Rhinolophus ferrumequinum: one gene and its partner. The protein of the gene in region 2 purifies or fractionates together with the protein of the main gene of each other region. This does not show direct contact. Links are inferred from orthologs where the notes say so. Each region holds a gene or a part of one and is shown on either strand. Other genes may lie near its edges.

Region 1 (10,782 bases), on a different chromosome or scaffold from region 2:
TTTTTCATTTTAAAATAAATTTCCTTACTTTGAAAATAATGTTTTAAAGAAAATATTTACAGATATACAGCCACTTGATTTGTGCAAAGGGGCAGTGCAATTCACTGGGCAAATGGTCTTTTCAAAAATGGCCCAAGAGCAACTGCATATTCATTCAACTGCAAAAAATACTCCTACCTTACACCACCCACAGAAATAAATTCACGACCTAAATGTGAAAGGAAAACAAAAGCTTCTAGAAGAAAATTGTCATGCCTTCGGCAGGACTCAGGGCACTAACTATCCAGAAAAACAATGGATAAAACAATACTGAAGTTTAGAGACAGCAGAGGGTGGAAGGAAATGATGATGTACTGCCAGGGTGTGTGGGGAAGTACCCAGCCCAGGGACCCAGAGAGGGGCAGGGTGTGCCTGAAATCGGTTGCAGGTGGCCTGCAGAGCTGGGATGTAAACCAGGGAACCAGGACGGGGCTTCTGGCTTGTCTAATTCTGCAGCTGGGAAGGTGCAATCCCAGCACCTGCCCAGGGGCCCCAGTGCATCCAGAAGACCCACACCCAGCCCTCTCCCTCCTACCTCACACCCCCGAGACCCACCTGGGTCAGGTGCTGCTCAGAAGCAAAGCCAAGGCCATAGACAGTGTTGGCGCGACTGTCTGCCCACTGCCCGAACTTCTGGGAGGTTTTGGTAAAGGTCATGTTGGGAGTGACAGTGCTGTTGATAATGGCCTGGGGAGAGGGGAGCAAAGTTCAAGGTTAACGGGACTGCTAATAATGAACGTCAGACCTTGGAGGACCACTTTGTATTAGTGCCTCGGAGGCTCTGGTCTGAGCCGTTTCAGGAGGGAGACTGAGGCTCAGAAAGGGTCAGGGCTCCCTACTCCCTCTGCCCGTAGCCACACAGCAACAAGCAGACCCAGGCCTATTGCTGGGACCCCTGTCCCCTGCTGCCCCACCCAGGCCCCGCCAGGACCTTGGCACCCCCGATGCTGATGATTCGGTAGACATTGCGGGTGGCATCGTAGAAGTAGGAGACAGTGAGTGCGTGCTTGCCAGCGGGGATCCAGTTCCGCTTGGTGGCTGGGTCAATCTGGAACACGTGTGCCCGTGTGCTGAAGATGGGCTGCTCCCTGCGTGGGGAGAGGGCTCTCAGTGGGGGCTGGGCACCTCCAGGGGCTCAGGGCCAAGCCGGTAGAGACAGGGGCTCACCTGGCTGTGGACATTGGTCAAGCTGGGCTGGGTGAGCTCCAAGGGGCAGCCAGAGGAGTGGCAGGAGCTGCTGGTTCGGCCTCTGGGGGGAGAAGGGGCTTGTCAGTGTCCCACCAGGACACGCTGAGTGAGGCCAAGCAGGTCCAACCTCAGGACCCAACACGAGGTGCACCGTTCACAGAACTTCAATCAAAAAGGTGAGGGAATCAGTAGGTCACTCAGAGCAAGAAGACCTTGACTTTCTCCACCCAGAGAAGCCCCTACCACACTCTGGGCAGGAGATGGCTCTCTGAGAGGAGCCAGGTGGCCCCTGACATCTCAGCATCCATCTCTCATTGTCCTGAAGGCCAAGGCCAGCTCCCGCTCAGTATTTCCCCACACATTCACCCATCACTCCCCAAACCAGGGCCTCCAGCAAAAAGTGAGGCATCACCAAGTGCCTACTGGGAAACCAGTTCCCACAAGCCCCACAGAGGGACCCCTCCACTTCCACTCTAGGCCCCAGGCACAGACTTAGGGTCAAAGTCCAAATCTTCAGGGAACCCCATCCTAGTTAAAAAGACAAGATGTAGCCAAACAGGACCAATCACAGGTGCCCACTGCCAGACCACCATCAGCACTCACTCCCAATACCATGGGGGTTGGGCGGGACCCAGGATTGGGAGATGGTCTGCCTAGTCTCTGCTGGTTCCTCTAGCCACCCCACTCCCACCAAAGCCGGGAACAGCTGCCCAGGGAGACTTCCTGACCCTCCCGCGCCCACAAACTTGCATCCAGGATATCTGCAGGGGATCCAGGAGGGACCTAGGAGAAGGGGGGACACATTGGAGGAAGGGATGCACGGCCAAGTGGCCTCCGTGGTCAGAGGGGGACGTCCCCCCCCTTCCTGGGCAGCTGCTGTCCTGGTCACAGGGTCTGAAACCGGAGCCCCTGGTGGGGGAGGGGCGGCAACTCTGGCCGGGGTTGGGGGCGGGTCCTGGGTCTGGCAGGGGCTCCGCGGCGCGCAGGGGTCCCAGAACTCACGCCCTTAAGGCCAGGACTCTCCTGCAGAGACTTGCGCATTTGGGGAAAGTTACTCACCAACTAGTCATGTGCCTCGGACGCCGCCGGCGGTGGGGCTCCGGGAGGGGGCCCAACCGCCGGGTGCCCGGAATCCCCAATTGCCTGTGGGAGCGAAGCCCCACCCCACGCGTCCCAGTCGGGGGCCTGATAGTCAGGATTGAGTCCCCACCCGCGTCAGGAGCGGGGCGCCCAGTACTTCGGTTAGTGAGGCCTTCGACCCTGGAACTTCCGAGATCCCTGCGACGCCCCCGACTCCAGGACCAGAACTTCGGGGACCATTATCTGCCTCCTCCACCCCAAGGTCCAGAACTTCGGGGATCGTCCGCACCGCCCCCAATTCCTGAACTTTGGGGACCCCCTGCCACACTTCTATCTCCAGGTCTAGAATTCGGGGTACCCTTGCGCCGACCCCCGCCCCAGGTCTGGAACTTCGGGAGACACATTCCTGCGACGCCGAGCGCGGAACTTTGGGAATCCTTCGCACTGTCCCCTCCCCGACCCGAGCTCCGGAACTTAGGGGCCCCTGCGCCCCCGCAAGACCTGGAACTTCGGGATTCCTCCGGCTGCCCCCATCCTCCGTGTCCGGGACTTCGGGGACACTGGCGCCCTTCCCCGGCCCTGGAATTTCGGGGCCCGCGCGCCCCGACGCAAGCTCGGCCGGCCGGGCTCACCCTGCCTGCTGGGCGCCCCGTGAGCGTCCGGGCGGAGTCGGGTGCGGCCAGCGGTGCTAACTCCCCGCACCGGGCGCCCGGCTCTCTCGATGGCTCCGGGGCTCGCGCCCTCCGCGCCGCCCTCCGTGCCGCCCGCGCCTTTGTCTGCGCCGCCGCCGCCGCCCGCGCCGCCTCCGGTCCCATCGCGGTCGGTCCCGACGCGGCCGCCGCCCGCCCCGCCTCCCCGGGCCCCGAGGCCTCCCGCAGCGCCCTCTACCGGCCCTCCACGGTGCTGGGGGTGGGGGAGCCCATAGGAATGGGGAGAGGGGTGGGATTGGGGGTAAGGGCGGGGAAGGGGACTGGGGTGGGGGACCCAGAGACCGAGACGGGGCGGGGGGAGGTAGAGACACAGGAGATAGACAGACGGAGAACTACAACAATGTAACAAGACAACTGTGGCAATGCCAACAACCGTAGGGGATGGTGATCGTTGGTGTGTTATAGGATCCCTGAATCTAGGGCTTAGGGATGGTCGGGGTCCAGTTCCCACCGAATGGTGAGTCTGGTGGAGTTCCGCAGGCCTGGATTGCCGCTTCTGGTCAGAGGGAGCCCGCCCTTCATACACTTACCAGAAGCAGGTCCTCAGGGGGCTGAGCTGCGATCACCTCCCCAGGCCTGAGCTTGCCTCCAAGTTGCACAGTGCCGTTTGGCGGTGGGCAGAGGCAAGGAGGCCTTGCCCGAGGCTCACAGTTCCCTGACGCTCTGAGCTTTCTGACAACCTGAGAAGTTTTGCTTTTGGTCTGTCACATCTCCTTTCCCTCTTCTTTTATTTCTGTTTGCCTGACAAGAATCACACATCTAAACTGGTAGCTACTTTCAAATTACCTTTAGATGAATTCTAGAGACTTAGTCCCAGGCCAAAACCTGAGTTTCCTCCCTCCAGGCCTTTGCCCAAGCTGTTTCCTCTACCTGGAATGCCCTTCTGACAGGCATATATTCTGCCTGGTCCTTCGAGGCTCAGCTCCCCGCCCCTCTCCTCCTGGAAGCTTCTCTGACCATCCTGGGCTTGGAAGCGATCTTGCTCTGCCCTGCCCCACTCTCCTTTCCCTTTCTGTCGGATAACTGATGTGTGTTACCTGTTTATTAGTTCAGTGCGGCCAGGTCTGGGAGCTCCTGGAGGGCCAGCCCATCTTGGACCCCCAGCCTTACTGGGGAAAGAGGCACAGACTCAGTTTCCCAGGCTGCTTCTAACTTCACAAGGCATCTGTACGAGCAAAAGATTTGGCTTCGCTCTCAGGCCTGAAGCCACAAAATGCTTGAACACTGTGGGGAACAAAGAGAATACCGTCTGTTCTGTGCAAAAGTGACTTTTCCTTATTACCAAAGAAATAATAATAAAGTAACTGGAAAGGTGCCTGCAGGGCCGAGTCTTCTGGAAGCTGCTTAGGGTGTGCTGAGTGCCAGCCGGCTACAGAACTGGGGCCACGTGGCCATTCAAGGGGGAGGCAGGCGAAGGGCCCAGGCCAGCTTTCCTCCTTGTGTGGGCAGAAGGCAACAGCATGAGAGAGAGTGGGGAGTTGAATCCTTTCCTGGACACCCCTCTCAGGCTCCAGGAGGGGCTGGGATGCTGCTGGCCTTGAGCAACCCTGACCTGAAGTTGTCTTAGTCAAGTCCAAACTGAGGGAATGGCTTTGTCAGTACAGACCTGTTTTCTCACCTGGAGAATGGGCTGATGAGCATTGGCCTGGGGTTGGGGAGGAAGCAGTGAGGATCCAGGTGACACCAGCAGCTCCTCACTCTCTCTTGGGTATAGATGGGTAGGGGGCTTCCCTGAGCTGCCACCCTTACCCCAGCCTGAGCCCACTTCTCCTTGGGTCTATCCTTGCAGGGTGGGCAGAAGCACCACCCCAGAGTGGCTGACTAGAAGTAACAGCTTTCCCTTGGGACTAAGGAAGGACATGAGAGAATGAACAACCTGTCATAGGAGGCACCAAGCGAGGACTAGAATGGCTTGTTGGGCTCTAGGGAAGCAGTTTGCAGAGTGGCGCTTATGGCCTCTATTTATTGTGACCCAACCTTTGTACTAAAGCTAAATCTTCTGTCCTCTCTGGAGGGTTCCTGTCCCACCAGAAGAGGGGAAGTCTGTCACTCTTCTCCAAAGGGACATGCCCAGCTACAGGACATGAGTCACAGTGGCTACCTATATCTGTTGTGGCATGATTTGGTTACCATCCACCTCTTTCACAGCTCTGCCCAGCACCTAGAGCAAGCCTGACCTGCAGGAGATCCTCTGTAAATGCTTCCAGAAGGAAGGGATCGCTAGATCCCAACATTGGTCTTTGGTGGTCTCCAGAGTCACAGGAGCCAGAAAGTGACTCCCAGCCCTGCCTCTTACCAGAAGTGTGACTTTAAAGAAGCCACTTTCCCTCTCTGTGTCCTAGTTTCCCCACCTATAAATGTGCATAAGAATGGTGCCCACTTCTGAGGTTTCCTGTAAGGACCCAAGTCCTTGTATGAAGAGGGCATGATCCTAGGAGCTTAATTAATGCTCACTGTTATAAACATTATATTTATTCTTGGCTGTCTGGGCATGTGGTTTTGATCCTGAGCAAAGTTCTTAAGATTTTCTCTGTTAGAGGGTGAAGGATTCCAACCAGGTGTAAGCTCTTGGGGACAAAATTGGTCCAACCTGGTGTGATATCCTCTAAATATTTAGCTCTGGGTCCCTTATGTGCCCCTCCAGCCATCCTCCTCTTCCTTCTCCCCATTCCCCCAGCCATGTCCAGTTGAGCCAGCTACCAGAACTAATCCTCTGGGAAAACTCCTAATCGTCCCTCAACACCCCACCTCCAGTGTTCTTTTCTGTGAGAAGCCCTCCCTCCTCTTCCCCTAGATTTTCCCCAACACTTTCCCTCCTTCTGGCCCAACTCTGACCCCAAGGGGCTGCCGGTGTCTGTGTCTAACTCTGACTCCGCTACCCTGAGGCACCTCAAGAGCTGGGCTGAGGCTTCCCTTTAGCTTGGCGTCTCCTGGCATTGGGTGGATGCATGGGGGTTATGGCAGAGGAGAGTTTGATGACTCGATATTGGTGATAGTAACTCTGCCTTATTTTATATCTAACTCAACTTCTGCCCAAAGCTAAGGTTAATTCATTAAACAGCCCCCAGGAAATAATGGAGCCCGCTGGCTCAGGCCCAGGCACACAGGTGCTTGAGGAGGGAAGGGGTCCAGCCCTGGGTTATGAACTTGAGCTCCCAGGACCTGGGCAGGTCAGGGGTGGGAAGTGGCAGCACTTGTGCCCCCTCCCAACTCCAAACCTGGATCCCACAGACCTAATTACCCTCATTGCCACGTGCACTAATTACCTCTGTGGTGCCAGGTGGCTGGGCGGGGGCTGCTCCACTTTTGGGAGGTAGGTCGGGACCGATTATTTTTGGCTATGCCGTCCTTGAAGGCTCTGCCATCCACCAGCGTGAAGGGCAGAAAGTGGGGCGAAGAAATTGCGGCCACGACAGGAGGGACACTGGGAGATGTGTGGGTCGGGTTGGCCCAGGAGCTCCCTGAGCAGGGGTTTTGGCCTGAGGCCTGAGGGTCTTTGGCACATAGCTGGAGGTGGCAAGACCTGGAGGGGCTGAGAATCAGCTCTGAGGTGGACTGGTCTGGAGGCCTGTTTTAATCGTGGCACCATCGGGGGGAGAGGGCTTGCTGTGGAGGGCTGGTCAGATGGGCCTGGCTGGGAACACCAAGCACCACTGACTTGCTGTGTGTTTCTGAGCACATGACGTCCTCTCTTTGCATCTTTCCTGAGGGATCAAATGGGGATAATAACTCACACAGTGTGCTCTGGGCAGAGGGCACAGCATGTACCAAGGCCCTGGGGTGGAGATGGGCTGGGTGCATTGGAGGAACAGTGGGGAAGCCAGGTGGCCAGAGTGAGAGGAGAGTAGGGGATTCTGAGGGTTGAGGGGGTCACAGGCCAGGTGGGGCCTCATGGGCTATGATAAAGTGTGTTGGATTTATTCCAAGGGTACTTGGGAGCCATGGGAGAGTTGGGAGCCAGAGAGGGAGAGACGTGATCAGATTTACAATGCAGGCTCCAAGCTGGTTTTTAGCTTTTAGGAGAGAACCAGGTGTCTATATATGTGGAAAATGGGCGCAGAACCTCCCTGAGCCTCAGTTTCCCCATCTTGGGTAGAGTCCTGAGGCTTAGACAGCCCCAGCGCGCACACTGGACCCTCAGCCAGGGAAGCTCTCCTCCCCCCAAACTCCCAAATTCTGGCCAAGCAGTCTACATGGGCTCTCCTTTGCTTGCCCTGTCCTCCTACTCTCCTTCTGCGGCCTTGAAGGAACAGCTGTGGGAACAGAGAGCGGGAGGCCTCAGGGAAGGCGGAGAGGAGGGGCTCCGGGGGCTGTGTTCCTGCTTGGTGACAGCCTACGCGGGGCCGACGGGTGCTGAATGTTCTTGCAGGAACTGGGTGACTCACATGTGGCAGCCTCTTCCCTTGATCTGCTAGGGGAGGCCATTCCTGGTCTCCAGGCACAGACTGAAGTCAGGATTCACCTCTCTGGGACGCCCCCAAACGAGCCCTCCCTCTGCCTCCCAGGATCCCTTTAACTGGCTGCACTGCTCACTTTCCTGCTCCTGCACCTTTCATGGCTCTCCTGGAGGCTTCAAAGGGAGAATCCAGCTCCCTATCACCATTGGCTACACTGCTGGACCCCACATCTGAACCTCTGCATTCATCTCCAACACTCCCTCCTCCAGGAAGCCTTCCCAGACTCCCTCTACTCCTCCAACCCTGACCTCATAGGAGGGGGCTATCTCTGCCCCCACCTCAGATCAGGGCTTCTCAGAATCCAGGCTCAGGCCAAGGCCTCTCAGGGCCCCATCATCGCCCAGTGTGGGAGGCCACAAAGGGGACACTGGGGAGGACCCCTGCTGTGCTCGCCTAACACAGGACCCCATGGGCCCGACCTCTAACTTCATTTTTATAGAAGAGAAAACTGAGGCTCAGGGGCCTTAAACCAATTCTCCAAATCAAAACTGGCCAAGTGGAAAGCTTGGCTTTAAACTGGGTCTGAGAGCCAAGCCCTGCTCCCTGCAGCCTTTGGAGCCTTATTTACACACTGGTAGGGGAGGAGGCATCACCTGCCTGCAGGTGGACTTGATACAGTCTGGGCTTAGACACCCAGGGTGGGAGAGCCTGTCTCCATGGACACATTGGGGGCCTCCCTGGGCCTCTATTTCCTTCTCTGTAAGATGGTGGTTCCTTATCTGTTAACTCATGTTTATTGAGCACCTCCTGTGTCCCAACACTCTGGGAGGCCCTGCCCTGAGGGAGTGCACAGCTATCTGGTGCATAGACAGATGATTAACAGAGGAACAAGTAGGTTGACTTCCGACAGTTTATGCAAAGTAGAGAAAAACAGACAAAGCAACAAGCAAAGACCCGTAGTTGGTGAAGGCTGCTCAGAGAAGGGGAACAGCATGTGCAAAGGCCCTGACGTGGGAATGTGCTCTGCCCCTTGGAGAAGCATTGAGGACGCAGGTGTGGCCGGAACAGGTTGACTTGGGGGGATAGTGAGGAGCCTGGTGGGCAAGGAGCCTTTTGGGCCCCAGCAGAGTGTGGACTTTATACTCAGAGCCCTGGGGAGCCATGAAAGGCTTTTGAGCAGGAGAAGGTCAGGATCTGTTTTTACATGTGCTGGATAAGTTTCACCAGAGTGCCACATGGTAGATGGACTGAGAAGGGTGATCCTAAGACTTTCTTCCTCTGTTATCTGGAGGCAGAGGGTATCCTGGGTTGTGCTTGATAACAAATGACGGTTATCAGCCCTATTATTGTATCTTTGGGGTTGGCCACAGGCTCTGAGTTCATATCACTCCCAGGGCCTTGGGGAGGGAGTCTGTCTCAATAACCCCCTTTCTGTTCTATCTGGCCCTTCTTTCTCCTCTCTCTCTCTCTCTCTCTCTCTCCCTCTCTCTCTCTTTCTCTCTCTCTTTCCCTCTCTCTCCCCCCTCTGAAGCCCTCTTATCTCTGAAATTCCAGGCCTCCAACAGGACGGAAACATCTGCTTCCCTGAGTATGGATCCTGCAGCCCCAAGGGAGGTCACAGAAGAGCCTCCTGTCCCCCAGGCTGGGGGAGGAGGACCACTGAGGGAAAGAGAAAGGGTCACACATTATGCACTGGCTGCATACACAGGGGAGACACTATATACAGGCTGCATTCAGGGGTCTGCATTCGAGTCCTGTCCTGTCCTATTCTGTCTGGGAGGCCTGAGAGCGGTGGCCACATGATTTCCGGGTGGGGAATCACAGCCAGGCACAGGATGAGTGCTTGTCGATGGATCCAACAGGGCAGCATCACCTGCCTGATTAGCAGGACCCTGCGCAAACAGCAAATTCAGAAAATTATTCAGAACTTTAAGACAGTGACATCAGAGCGTTAAACTCAGAAGCTGGCCCTGCTGGGAGCTTTGCCGGTCACCTTCTACAACTGGGGAAACTGAATCTGAGAGGGGGGCGTGCCAAGAGGAGAGGGACCTGCGGGGACCCTCCCACCTCCTGAAACAGTGGCAAGTGTGTTGAGTGGCTGATGGGCTGGTGAGTAGATCCCAGGAGCTGGGCCATATCAACCTCATTCTTGGTGAGAGGCCAGAAGGAGCCGTGGCATACATTTTCTAACAGGATCAGCTTTATGTGTTTTCTCTTCTGACTGCCAAAGTAACACGTGCTCAGTGTAAAACGTTTTAAGAAACACAGACAAGCATAATGTAAATAGCATTTAATTTCCTGAGTGCATTTTAATTATGAACTTAAAATGTGCTTGGTGTTCACTGGTAATTTAAAACACACTGGAGGGGTGGCCGGTTGACTCAGTTGGTTACAGCACAGCGCTCATAACACCAAGGTTGCCAGTTCGATTCCCAAGATGACCCACGATGGGCCAGTGAGTGCACCCTCCACAAGACTGAAAACAACGACTTGACTTGGAGCTGATGGGTCCCAGAAAAACACACTGTTTCCCAATATTCCCCAATTTAAAAAATTAAAAAAAAAAAACACACTGGAGCAGGATACAAACAAAATTCAGACGCCATCCCTGCCTTTGGTGGGCGTGGGCTGACACACACCAGGTGCTCCATAAATATCTGCCAAGTGAATGAAATTTTAAAAATAAAACAAATGCCCAGAAATCACTGTTACTAACATGATGGTCTATTTCATTAGATTTTTTTTCTTTTTTCTCTTCTCAGCCACAATGCAATCATACAATACCCACGACTTCTCAGTGGAGGCCCACTTTCCACACTGATCAATACCAGTCTGCCCTCTTGTGTTGAAAGATTTCATCATCAGGGGCTACTCCATGATTTATTAAATTGATCCCCTAGGGTAGGGCATCTAGTTTGCTTCCTGGAGGGTCACATTTTGGGGACGCCTTTAAAAGTGGAATCACACATGTTCAAGGCTTTTGATGGACACTTAGGGCCATACCGCTTTCCATACCACGTGTGCCAAATCTTACTCTGCTCCCAGCAATGGTGGGTGAGTGTGCCCATTTCTCTGAATATTTGACATTTGCAAATAAATATTAGAGACATTTACTTTGCAAGATGTGGATTAAAACCAGAGGTCCCCAAAGGGGGAGTGAGGAGTGACTTTTTATAGACATGGAGTTTCCTTTGAGGGGATGAAATGTTCTGGAACTAGATAGAGGTAGTGGTTGCACAACACTGTAAATGTGCTAAGTGCCACTGAATTACACGTGTTACAATCACTAATTTGTGTTATTTGAATTTTAGGTCAATTACAAAAAATCAGAGGCCCCAACCTGTGGGGGGGGGGGTCTCTGGCTTCTA
Region 2 (10,601 bases):
CCAGAAGCCAGGCCTGAAGCTTGGTGCACTGTCCTGGGACTGACTGGCACAGCCCCATTCACCAGTCAGTGCCCCGCGAGGAAGCTGGCTTCCGCCGGGTACCCTGATGCGTGTCGACTGGTGTTGGCCCCATCGATGCAGGGCCTCTTGCTTCTTACTGGTACCATCCACCACCCTAGGGGGCCTGTCATCCCAGGCCTGGACTGGAGAGGGACTGAGGAGAGGGCCAAACTAGGCCCGGACAACTGAGCACGCCTTGCTTGACCACCTGTCCTTCGGGCTCCCTGGCATGGACATCTGAAGTTGTTGACGTTCTCAACAGGTCCTGGGGCCCATCCCCTTTAAGAGAAGAGAAGGATCTGTTGTGTTCTCTTGAGGACTCTGGGAAATGGGTGCAGGGCTTCCTGTGTTATTTTCATCGTGTCTTGCCAGAGTCTGGAATACTACCTGACGCATAGTGGATGGCCAACAAATGGCCCTCAGGCACCTCGTTCAGTCTCTCAACCAAATTCAGGGAGCAGCTGAAGATTGAAGTCTGGGTTCACCTTGGATTCAGTTCTGGAGAGTGTGGGACAAGTGGGGGGCAGTCATCACAGCTGCTTGTAGTTGATGCCCAGGGAAAGCTGGGGAGCTGGCCCAGGCAGGTCACCCCAGGAGGAAAGCAGGTGGAGTGTGTTTTTCTTTCAGCCTAGATATCCCTGGCATATTAAACAGTGTCTTTCACTTCCACAAAAAATGTACTCTCTCCCACTTCTCTTGAACCGTGAAGCCCTCGGTCCACGCTGGGTTTCCATAGATAAAAGGGAACAAGATCACAAGGGCGGATGATGGGAGTTGTGGGGAAGGCTTCCCCCACCTTCCCAGGGCAGCCGCCCTCAGCCTCAGCCAAGGGCTGCCACACGGGAATGCCGAGCTGTGGCCAGATCTGCCAGTTTATCGACATTGTCCGCAGATTCAGACTTTCATGTGAAGTCTGGTTTTTTAATGTTGGCAACTAAGTCAGATTTTAAAATTCTATTTAAAAAAGAATAAACAGGTCAAATCCAGTGTGAGCACAGCTGGGGCCCCAAGATGAAGAGGTAGTCCAGGAAGCACCAACATCTCAGTACTGGGCAGAGAAAGCAGGAGCTGCCAGAGGGCAAGGACAGCCAGAGAACTGGGGGCCAGGTGGTCGGGCGGGGCAGCCGGCTCAGCCAGAGTGTTTCCAGAACCTGCCAACAGTGTCAACCAGGCAGATAAGGCCGAGGAGTCCCCATGGCATTTCGCAACAAGGTGATATTTGCCAGATCAGTTTAGCAGAGAGTTGGGGCCGCTGCCAGAGTTAGAGGAACAAGGGGGAGGTGGTGAGGATGTAGAAGGAGAGTGTAGACAAGAGAGTGCAGACAGCTCGGAGGAGGCTGGGCTGTGGTGGCCGGAGGACCACTAGCAGCCCTACACCTGTGCGCCCAGAAGGGTGACGGGAGGAAACTGGGAGGTGTCTGCCAAGGGAAGGTGGGTGAAGAAGGGGAAGCTCATACCGTGTTTCCCAAAAAATAGGACAGCCAGACCATCAGCTCTAATGCGTCTTTTGGAGCAAATATTAATATAAGGCCCAGTCTTAATTTTACTATAAGACCCTAAAATTAAGACTGGGCCTTATATTAATATTTGCTCCAAAAGACGCATTAGAGCTGATGGTCCGGCTAGGTCTTATTTTCAGGGAAACAGTAGAAGGGTGGATGTAAGGGGAAAGGAGGATGGAGAGCAGAGAGCTGGGGACTAAACCTCAGGAAAGAGGTGCTCACGTGGATGGAAGTAAAAACAAGCACGGGGTACCTGCTCCGAACGGCTGCCTCTGCTGGGACCCACAGAGCAATCACTTAAAGAGTATATGTCATTTAATCATGGAAACACACTTAACAGAGATGTCATTAAGTGCATATTTCAGATGAGGGACCTGGGGCTCAAAGAGAAAGTGACCTGGCCAGAGCCACCCAGCCAGAGTGGCCTGGGTCTGCTGCTTCAAGGCTGCAGTGCTCCCCACTGCGCCTCCTGGCTGCTCCCCCATCACAGAGCTGCAGGGATCACAGTGTTCCAAAGCTGGGGTGCGAGGCTGTGTGGGTGGAAGCCGTGGCGACTGGGAAATGTCCTTGTGTCAGGTAGGGGAAGCCATTAGCGCCCTTGGAGAGTGCAGCCTCCCCAGCTAAAGGGGCAGAGCCCATGGCAGGGGGCTGAGTGGGAACTGGAGAGGCAGTGTGTAAGAGGGGCTTTTTCCAGCTCAGAGCAGCTAGAGCTCATTCAAAGTCAGCAGGGAGAGAGGCGGTAGAGGGAGAGGAACTGAGTACAGAGAACAGGCAGGAACTGATGATTCTGTTGCTGCCTCCTCAGTGCCAGGCCCTGCGTGGCCTTGGAACACATACAAGGTACACACCACCCTGTGGACCCTTCCATGCAGCCCTGCTATGGGAAGGCAGCTGAGGCCAGCCCCATACAAGCAGGGAGCAGCCGGGAGGACTGAGTGGGCCTGAGTCCAAAGCCAACCAAGAGTGGAAGTAGGGCTCCTCCCCAGCTGGGGCATAACGGGGAGGTAGGGTTCCAGGGGCCCTGGTAGGACAAGAAGAAGCTCGCTGGGAGCCTGGGGAGGACTCAGGAAGTCAGGCCACCCCGGGGAGATCATGCAGTGGGGTAGCTACAGAGTGGTCAGGGAGCGCCCCGGGATGGGCCTGGGTCTCCTGCTCAGCCTGGGGGACTAGGTCAGCTCAGCTTTCACCCATTTCCCTTGCCACTGATAAAAATGACCGCTACTAGGTAGATGAAGAAGGACTCTTTCAGTGCAAGTGTAACTAGTTTAGCAGAAACAGGGAGAATTTATCTCATTTAACTGAGGTTAACGGCTTCAGATCTGGTGGGACCAGGTACTCTGGGTGTTACCAGCAGTCTGTCTGCTGTCTCCATCTCTGGGCACTGCTTTCCTAAGTGCTGGCTGTATTCTCAGGCGGCTCTCCCCATTATTGGGGAGACACCCCTCAACCAGCTCCAGACCCACATCCTGCCAGCTCAGCAGCCCCAGTAGAGGCTTTCTCAATGATTCCAGCAAAAGTCCCAGGGCTGCTGCCCATTGGGCTGACTTGGGTCATGTGTCCATCCCTGAAGCAGTCACTGGGTCTGACCGGTGGGCCTGGAACACAGGCTCCCCTCTGGAGCCTGTAGTGGAAAAATCAGCCGGAAGACAAGGGTAGGGCTTATGGAGGAGAGACCCTCGAGCTAGATCCAACAAGATCCGGGCCAGAACAGACTGCTTCCCATAAATCCCCTCAGAGACTGTCCCATGGTCCCCTCCCATGTGTCCCACCTCCTGCTCCTTCCTGGAACAGGTCGCTGCACACCCCGCCCCCCAAGCATGGGAAGCATTTTCCCATTATCTGGGCAGGTCACACCCCGGTGCCCCATCCATCCAGTCCTGTCCTATATAACCCTTTGTGCCTGCCACGTGGCCTGGAGGACATCCCTGTCACCTCAGTGCCATCGCCCAAGATGTGCCTCTTATGTAAGCTCTCTTAATAAACTCTTGATATAATGCTGGAGTTGTCAGCCTTTTTCTTCAGTCTCTCAGGCCTGGGAAGTTTTACATAACAGGGATGCCTGACCATGGACAGCCACTGCACTGGGCACTTTTCCTCCATGCCCAGGACTCCTGCACCCGGACTTTTCCTTAGACCCTACAGCTGTAACCTGAGGAACTACCTCTGACTAAATTGCAGGCCAGGCTAGCCCCTACATGTGGAAATGGGGGTGCTAGAAGGGGAAGTGGGAGAATAGGTGGTAGACTGACGTGATGTGGGACAGTCCTGGGTTCCCATCCAGACTTGCTACTCACCAACTGTGTGCCTCGGGGCCTCACTGCTCCTCTCTGAGCCTCAGCTTTCCTATCTGTAAAATAGTGATAACAGCCCACATCTCAATGGCATCTGCTATGTGCAGTTGCCATTTTAAGCACTTTCTAGATACTGTTTTAACATCCTCAAACAGACCCTATGAGGTAGGTACCATCATCATCATCCCCATTTTGTAGCTGGAAACGAGTAAGACAAAGAAGTTCAAGGAGTGAGTCTAAGGTCACACGGTTAGCAAGGTCCGTGGATTAGCAAGATCTGGGCAGCAATTGGCTTGTGAGGAGCAGAGCTTCTGTGGGAAAGTGGCCGGCCCAGTGCCAGGGCCCACACCTGCAAGGATGAGGGGGCATTTTTGAAGGTGTGCTTGGTATGAACTTGCAGAGTCAGGGTGAGGGCAGAGAAGGCTCCACCAGCCTGTGCTAAAAAATAGTCCTGAGGCCAATGTGTCATCCTCGAAGCCTTCCCTGAGATGTGTGGGGAGCACAGAATAGGAAGGTGGGTGTGGGGGGGAGGAGGGCCAGGCTGTGAAAAGGAAGGGAGGGGTTCTTATTTTCCAAGCTTCCATCCAGTCACTCACAACATGTTATCAAAGAGGAAACTCAGAGAAGGAAAGCATTTTAGCCCAGGTCACACAGCAAGTGACCAGCTTCAGAACTGAATTCTCCCTCTTTGTTGACTTTTGCACTCTGGGGACCCAGAAACCACTGGACCAGCCTCCCAGGGTGTTGTGGAGGCTCACTCTCTGGGGGTGGGGAGACCACTGTGTTAGTGGCTTAAAAGGTGTTCAGTGCTGAGAGTAATAGACACCAAGTCCTGGTGGGAGGACCGCCAAGTAAGCACCCAGCACCCACCCACCAAAGTGGGGTGTGTGGCTTTCAGGGCTAAAAGGAGGCAGGGTCACAGAGGAGGTAGTGATCAATGGTCACCCCACTCCCACAGGTCGAAGAAACAGGACTAAGACAGGACCATCGAATTTGGCAATTTAGGGGTCACTAGTGACCTTGGCCAGAGCAATTCCAAGAACAACGGAGACAGGGGGAGACAGATTACAGATATACAAATTACAGGATGAAGATGTGGAGGGAGAAGGGTGAGAAGACCAGAAGGGCTGGGCTCCAGGGCAGCCAAGCAGGCGACCCTCTTGGTTCCACTTACAAGGCCTCTCTGTACCATCTTTGTAATTTTTCTATGAATCTAAAACTATTCTAAAATGAGCTTATATAAAAATATAGATGGTAAAGAGGGCGTGGCTGGAAAGAGGCAGGAATTTGAGGGAGAGCATGCATGTGGGCTTCTGTGTTGTGGATGTGAAATCGAGCAAGCAGGAGGCTGGGAAGGGGGCCAGGGAGGGGAAGGTGGGAGGAATTCTGAGCTGGGACAAGTCAAAGGAAGCAGGAAGGGGCTGAGACCCAAGATCTCCCCTTCAGCCCTGTCATGGGATTTCCTCCCACCCCAGAATCCTAGTGACCTTGCCTGGGCCTTGCTCCAAGTGGGGGCTGTGGAGAAACTGCTAGGGCCAGGGGTCCATGGGCATAGTGGGCACAGGCAGGGGTCTGTGAACGCTTTTGAGTTTTAAGAGGGTTTTCTTACTCCAAAGCGCTGGGAACCACTGCTGGAGATCAACGCACACGCTACTCTCCTCCTCCTGTGGCCAACTCAGAACTCAGAGGCCCAGCTGAACCGTCTCCCAGATTAGACTAGGTAGTTAGCTCAGGTTCCATCACCTCCCTGGGAAGATGGGGGTGGCTTTGTAGGTGGTGCGAAAGGCTTCTGAGAGCTGGGGAGAGTTTCAGGGTCCCACCTCAGCAAGGAGCAGACGTGTTTCTGGAGGTGCTGGCAGTGGTGCCCACTCTCCTGCAGGGGACTCCTCTGAGGCCCTAGTGCTTTCTGTGCTCAGAGCTTTGGGGGAAAAAAGTGCCAGGAGGCTGGTCCTGGAGGAACCCTTCCCTGAGTCTACAGTTAGATGCTACTACTTGAAGGAAGTCCACTTGGGATCCTCTACGATGCCTGAGGCTTGCCAGTCAAGGCAAAGGAGTTCCTGGGCTGACCCCATCTGAGAGGGGCCAGGAGGCTGCTGGTAAAGAAGGGGGGCTCAGCCTAGGGGTGGTGGAAGAGGCTGGCGATACTGTGGTAATGAGCTTGGTTGGGGCTGGGGATGGTCAAGGAGGCAGGGATGTAGAGGTGCGGTTGGTTACTCGGATCAGAATGAGGACAGGATAGGCTGGACTGAGGAGGGTGCATCTAAGGATGGGGTGTGGGGAATGGGGGTGCATGCTAAGCATAGAGTTGGGAATGGGGCTGGAACTGGGGCTGGGAAAGAGATGGCAGTGGACAGTGGTAGGATGGACTGAATGGGCCTTTCCGAGGTGAGGCTGGGCGGCAGATGGGCCAGGGGTGGCTGATCTGTGAATTGGGTTGGGACTGGGGGTTTGGATGGATCAGGGATGGGGGTGAGACCAGGATGGAGATAATTAAGCACCAAATGGGACTGGGCCGGATTGGAATGAAGTGGATTTGGGATTGGGACTGGGAGCTGATTAGGAGAAGAATCAGCTGGGGACGGGGATGGTTGGAGCTGGGGAAGAGGGTGAGTACCTTAGGCTGGGAACACGGTGAGGGTTTGGGACGCGGGTGCGATGGGCCTCGGGAGAGGAGGGGCAGGTTGGCCCGGGTGCGGACGCAGAGGCGGTGGGTGAGGGGCGGGGGGCGCCTGGGGCAGGCCGGGAAGGGGGGGCTGGCCTCCCCCTGGGCTGGGCCCGGGCGGCGCTAGGACCGAGCGCGGAGGGACGAGCCGGGCGGAGCCAGCGCCCCCCGCCCCCCGCCGGCCGGCTCCCCTCCCCCGGCCGCTGGCTCGCTCGGCTCTCAACGCTGCAGAGGCTCCGAGGCGGCGGCGGCGGTGACTCCCTCGTTCCCTCCCTCTTCTGTCCGTCCGTCCGTGCGTCTGTCCGTTCGGCCTGGGTCCGGCCCGCAGTATGGCCGGCGTCAGCTTCAGCGGCCACCGCCTGGAGCTGCTGGCGGCGTACGAGGAGGTGATCCGGGAGGAGAGCGCGGCGGACTGGTGAGCCCCCGCCCCCGCCCCCCGGCCCCTTTGTCCCCGCGCCGCCGCCGCCGCCGCCGCGCCTTTGTTTCCACCCGGCCCGCCGCACGGCTGCAGGGAAGGGAGGGGGCGACCCCGAAATGGTGGAGCGGCCTGGGAGGGCCGGGAGGGGCTGCCTTTGTGCGCGCCGGGGAGGGGCCGGGCGGGGTGCTGCGCCCCGAGGCCGGCCCAGGCGCGCGGTATGAGCGGTGGCCAGACGCGGGTCGGAGAGACGCAGGATCTGGACGTGTGGCCCGGGGCCACATGGTCCTGCAGGAGCCCATCCCCCGTCCTCTCCCCCGCCGGGGCTCAGGGGACAGGTGTGCACCGGGCGGCCAAGGGCACCTTCGCTACCTTCTAGCGGGCGCGGACCGGGCGGTGACGGGGCGGGGACCCAGCTAGCGGAGCCAGCTCAGCCTGCCTGGCCCAGCCCCGCCGGCCGGCCACAGCACAAAGGAACGCTAGGGCGGGGGAGGAGCAGAGCGGGCTGGGGGCCGAGGCGCCCCGCCCACCGGGGGGGCCTCTCGGAGTTGGGGTGTGATGGAAAGACGTTCATTGCACATGGCAACCGTGCAGTGACTCCTGTTCCTCTCAGTGGTCGTGGAGGAGACGGAGATAAATGGGATTGTAGGTACTGGGCAGCTGGGCTGGGAGATGCCAAGGGGGCCAGCTGGGGACCCTGGGAGGAAGCCCTCAGGCGCACACGCGTGGAGGGAGCCCCTAGAGAGGGATGAGGGCTGAGTAGATCCACTGAGCCCCCAGCCTCATCGCACAGTGGCAAGGGGCTCTCGGCTTCCTGGTGGGGGAGGAGCTGGGCTGCCCTCTTCCCCCTCCCCAGCTGTTGTCTCCCCAAGCTCTGGGAGGGGTGGACCACCTGCTCTGAGGCTGGTGTCCCCAGGGTGGTAGGAAAGCCAAGGGGTTCCACACTGCCCCATTCAGGAATCATCCCCCCAAAAGACTCTTCTCTTGGGGCAGGTACCCATTCTGTTCCCAGGCCTCTTCTCCCCTTGGCAGGCAGGAAACTGAGGTACAGTGTGAGGGCAGGCCTGAGGGACCTCACTTGAGCTGGCCTTACCCTCACCCTGGGAAGGCATTTGGGAAGGGACACTGACCTGGGGGCTGGAGGAGGGGACAAGTGGTGAGGTGTCCATGCCACGGTACTGCAGCACTGGCGGGCAGCCAGTCCTGGAGGGATGGACGCGGGAGACAAGCTCATGTCCTGCAGGTCAGTCACAGGAGAGGCCAGCACAGGCGAAGTGGGCAGGCGGCCCACCCATTGTCCCAGCCCTGCCCCTGGGGGCTGAGATCATGGGAGAAGTCCAGGGCAAGTGGCTGCCTTGGCCTAGTGGAGGAGCTGGCCTCGAGACCCGATGGGCCCTGCCTGAAGAGGGGCAGGGTCCATCATAGAATGCCCCCCTCACCCTCAGTCTGGGGATACTGTCTATCACCACCCCATCGGGCCTAACCCCCCAAAAGCAGAGCTCTGGAGGCCCAGTGCGGGTCCACACAACCACTGCTGGCCCACGTCCTCCTCAGCAGAGGGCTGGGCTCCCACCACGCAGCAGCATCCATGTGGCCAGAGTGAGTTATTCATCACTGGCGTGCGTCACCCCATCTGGGTGTGTGTGAGGCACACACAGATTCACACAGCCTCGCACATGCACACACGTATTCACTCTCAGTGGCCTAGGTAGCATTTTGTAAAAAGGGTGTGAGGATCATGTCCTGCTGCCAGCTCCGAGCCAGGGGTGCAGTGGGGTCTCAGGACTCAGGCACAGACCCGACACTAAGTCTAGAGGAGGATGTCTTGGGTAAAATTGCTGCCTGAGCAAAGGAGGCTTATCATTGCCCTCCCTTATCTTGCCTCTGAGTGGGGCTGGGGAGCAGGAGGGGAGTGGTCACTCCTGTGGCAGGGCATCTGAAATGGACCACTGTCCAGGTGGGAGCAGGGGACCCCAGGAAGTTAGGTTGTGTAGTGGGAAGAGCCAGTGTTGCCCTGGATGTGACAGACTCACTATGTGACCACACACAAGTGCCTGCTCTTCTCGTGTTCTTGAAAACAAGGAGACTCAACCATATCGGGACCTCCAGGGCCCATCTGGCTCTGACATCCTGAGAGTGTGATTGTCCTGAGGGGTCCACCTGCCCTCAGCCTCCCACGTTAGCTGACTCCAGCATCTCCTTGGAGCTCCAGCTCCCAACTCACCTCAGTCCAGTTTCTCTGGCCTAGATGGTTTTTCAGTGTTAGTGCCAGTATCTCAGGTACCTACTGGTGCCACTGTGGGCTGGACCCTGGACCCAGAGAGTGAAGTATGTTGATTGACTGAGTCAGACATCCTGCCTCCGCGAAGCTTAGGTCTGAGGCAGTGTCTGTCTCCAGGGCTTAGAGCTGGTGAGACATGTAGATTCCTGGTTCCCCCCACTCTGACTTCCTGCGGTTTCACCAGCTCCCACTGTCCAGGCCCAGGCCAAAGCCGGCTCTGCGGTATTTGAGAAGCACTTGTTCAGTGAGATCTGCGGCAGGCTTAGATGCCTTTTTCCATCCCTGCTGGGGTGTGATAATGCCTGAGGAGGTGCACCTCAGGACAGGGCACAGCTTCCTAGGGAGCTGGCATTGGGGCCCCGAGGGATTTCTGCCAGGGGTGGGCATGTGGTAGAGAAACTGGTCTGGTCTTTTTGTGACAGGAATCACATATGCAAAGGCTCGAGGGTGGGAAATACCCAGAACTGTGTTTGGCATCCGCGAGCCGTCTAGTGTGACCCCAGTGTGTGGTGTGGACACAGAAGGTCTAGCTGGAAAGGCAGGCAGGTGGGGCTCAGGGTTGAAGGCCTGCTGAAGGCTTTGAACTTAGCTATGGTTTCTGTCAGGTCAGTGGCTGGAGCTGAAAGGTGGCTGGAAGTGGGCAGGCAAGAGTTGAGGATGGAAGGGGCAGTACATGTGTAGCAAGGGCACTCAGAACTTCTGGGAGGCTAATAGTCACCCCTGGGAGGTGTGTGTGTCTGGGAACCAGGGTCTCAGAGTTCTGCCTCAGTTTCTCATTTTTGGAATGGGAAGGGGCAGACTTTGCTTCTCTGAGGGCCCTTTGTTCCCAGTGACGGGTTAGGGCAGCCGGACAGGTGGTGGGACAGCTGTGCTGGGAAGCAGCTGCCAGCACTGGGGCCCAGGCGACAGTTGGAGCAGGAGCTCTGGGCCTCACAGCCCACCTGTGTCCCTTTCCGGAGGGAGGGGTCCTGGAAAGTGTGTGTGTGTGTGTCCTCCCTCTTCCCTCCCTCCTTCCCTCTCTCCCTCCCTCCTTCATTTCCTCATCATACCTTCACTTTCCTCCTTTCTCTTCTCTTCCTTTCTCCTCTCTCTGACTCCCTCCGTCCCTTTCTCTTCTCCATCTCCTTTGTGCTCCCACCTGCCCTCCTCTAAGCCCCCAGCCTCCTGCCTTGGCAGTAGGAAAAGGGAAGCTTGGGGAAGGGGCTGAGCCCTCTGGAGCCTCCTCAACAGGGCCCTTCTTTCTTGCTCCAGGTCTGTCCTCCTAGGGGGTCCTTGGGAGCAGACATCTCTGCCTTCCCATCTGTGAAATGGATGCTGTGCCACTGCTGCCTGGCGAGAAAAAAATCTAGGGAGGAGGAAGGCTCCTAGGTCAGTTTTCTGGTGATGCTAA

The links.
Region 1: the proteins of DBN1 (region 2) and HOMER3 purify together in Homo sapiens (co-immunoprecipitation; 3 studies listed by BioGRID and IntAct, counting the BioPlex papers as one, with this or other methods). This does not show direct contact. The link is inferred for Rhinolophus ferrumequinum from reciprocal best matches to the Homo sapiens genes DBN1 and HOMER3.

What each region holds. Positions count from the first base shown.
Region 1 is NC_046301.1:51,532,421-51,543,202, forward strand, and holds the start of HOMER3 (homer protein homolog 3), read right to left. Parts: upstream 4,256-10,782; 5' UTR 4,055-4,255; intron 3,973-4,054; exon of another isoform or gene 3,548-3,972; intron 3,129-3,547; exon of another isoform or gene 2,940-3,128; intron 1,289-2,939; 5' UTR 1,221-1,288; coding exon 1,207-1,220; intron 1,128-1,206; coding exon 971-1,127; intron 727-970; coding exon 595-726; intron 1-594. UniProt on the Homo sapiens protein: Postsynaptic density scaffolding protein. Binds and cross-links cytoplasmic regions of GRM1, GRM5, ITPR1, DNM3, RYR1, RYR2, SHANK1 and SHANK3.
Region 2 is NC_046307.1:5,148,811-5,159,411, forward strand, and holds the start of DBN1 (drebrin), read left to right. Parts: upstream 1-6,680; 5' UTR 6,681-6,844; coding exon 6,845-6,930; intron 6,931-7,510; exon of another isoform or gene 7,511-7,567; coding exon of another isoform or gene 7,568-7,575; intron 7,576-10,601. UniProt on the Homo sapiens protein: Actin cytoskeleton-organizing protein that plays a role in the formation of cell projections. Required for actin polymerization at immunological synapses (IS) and for the recruitment of the chemokine receptor CXCR4 to IS.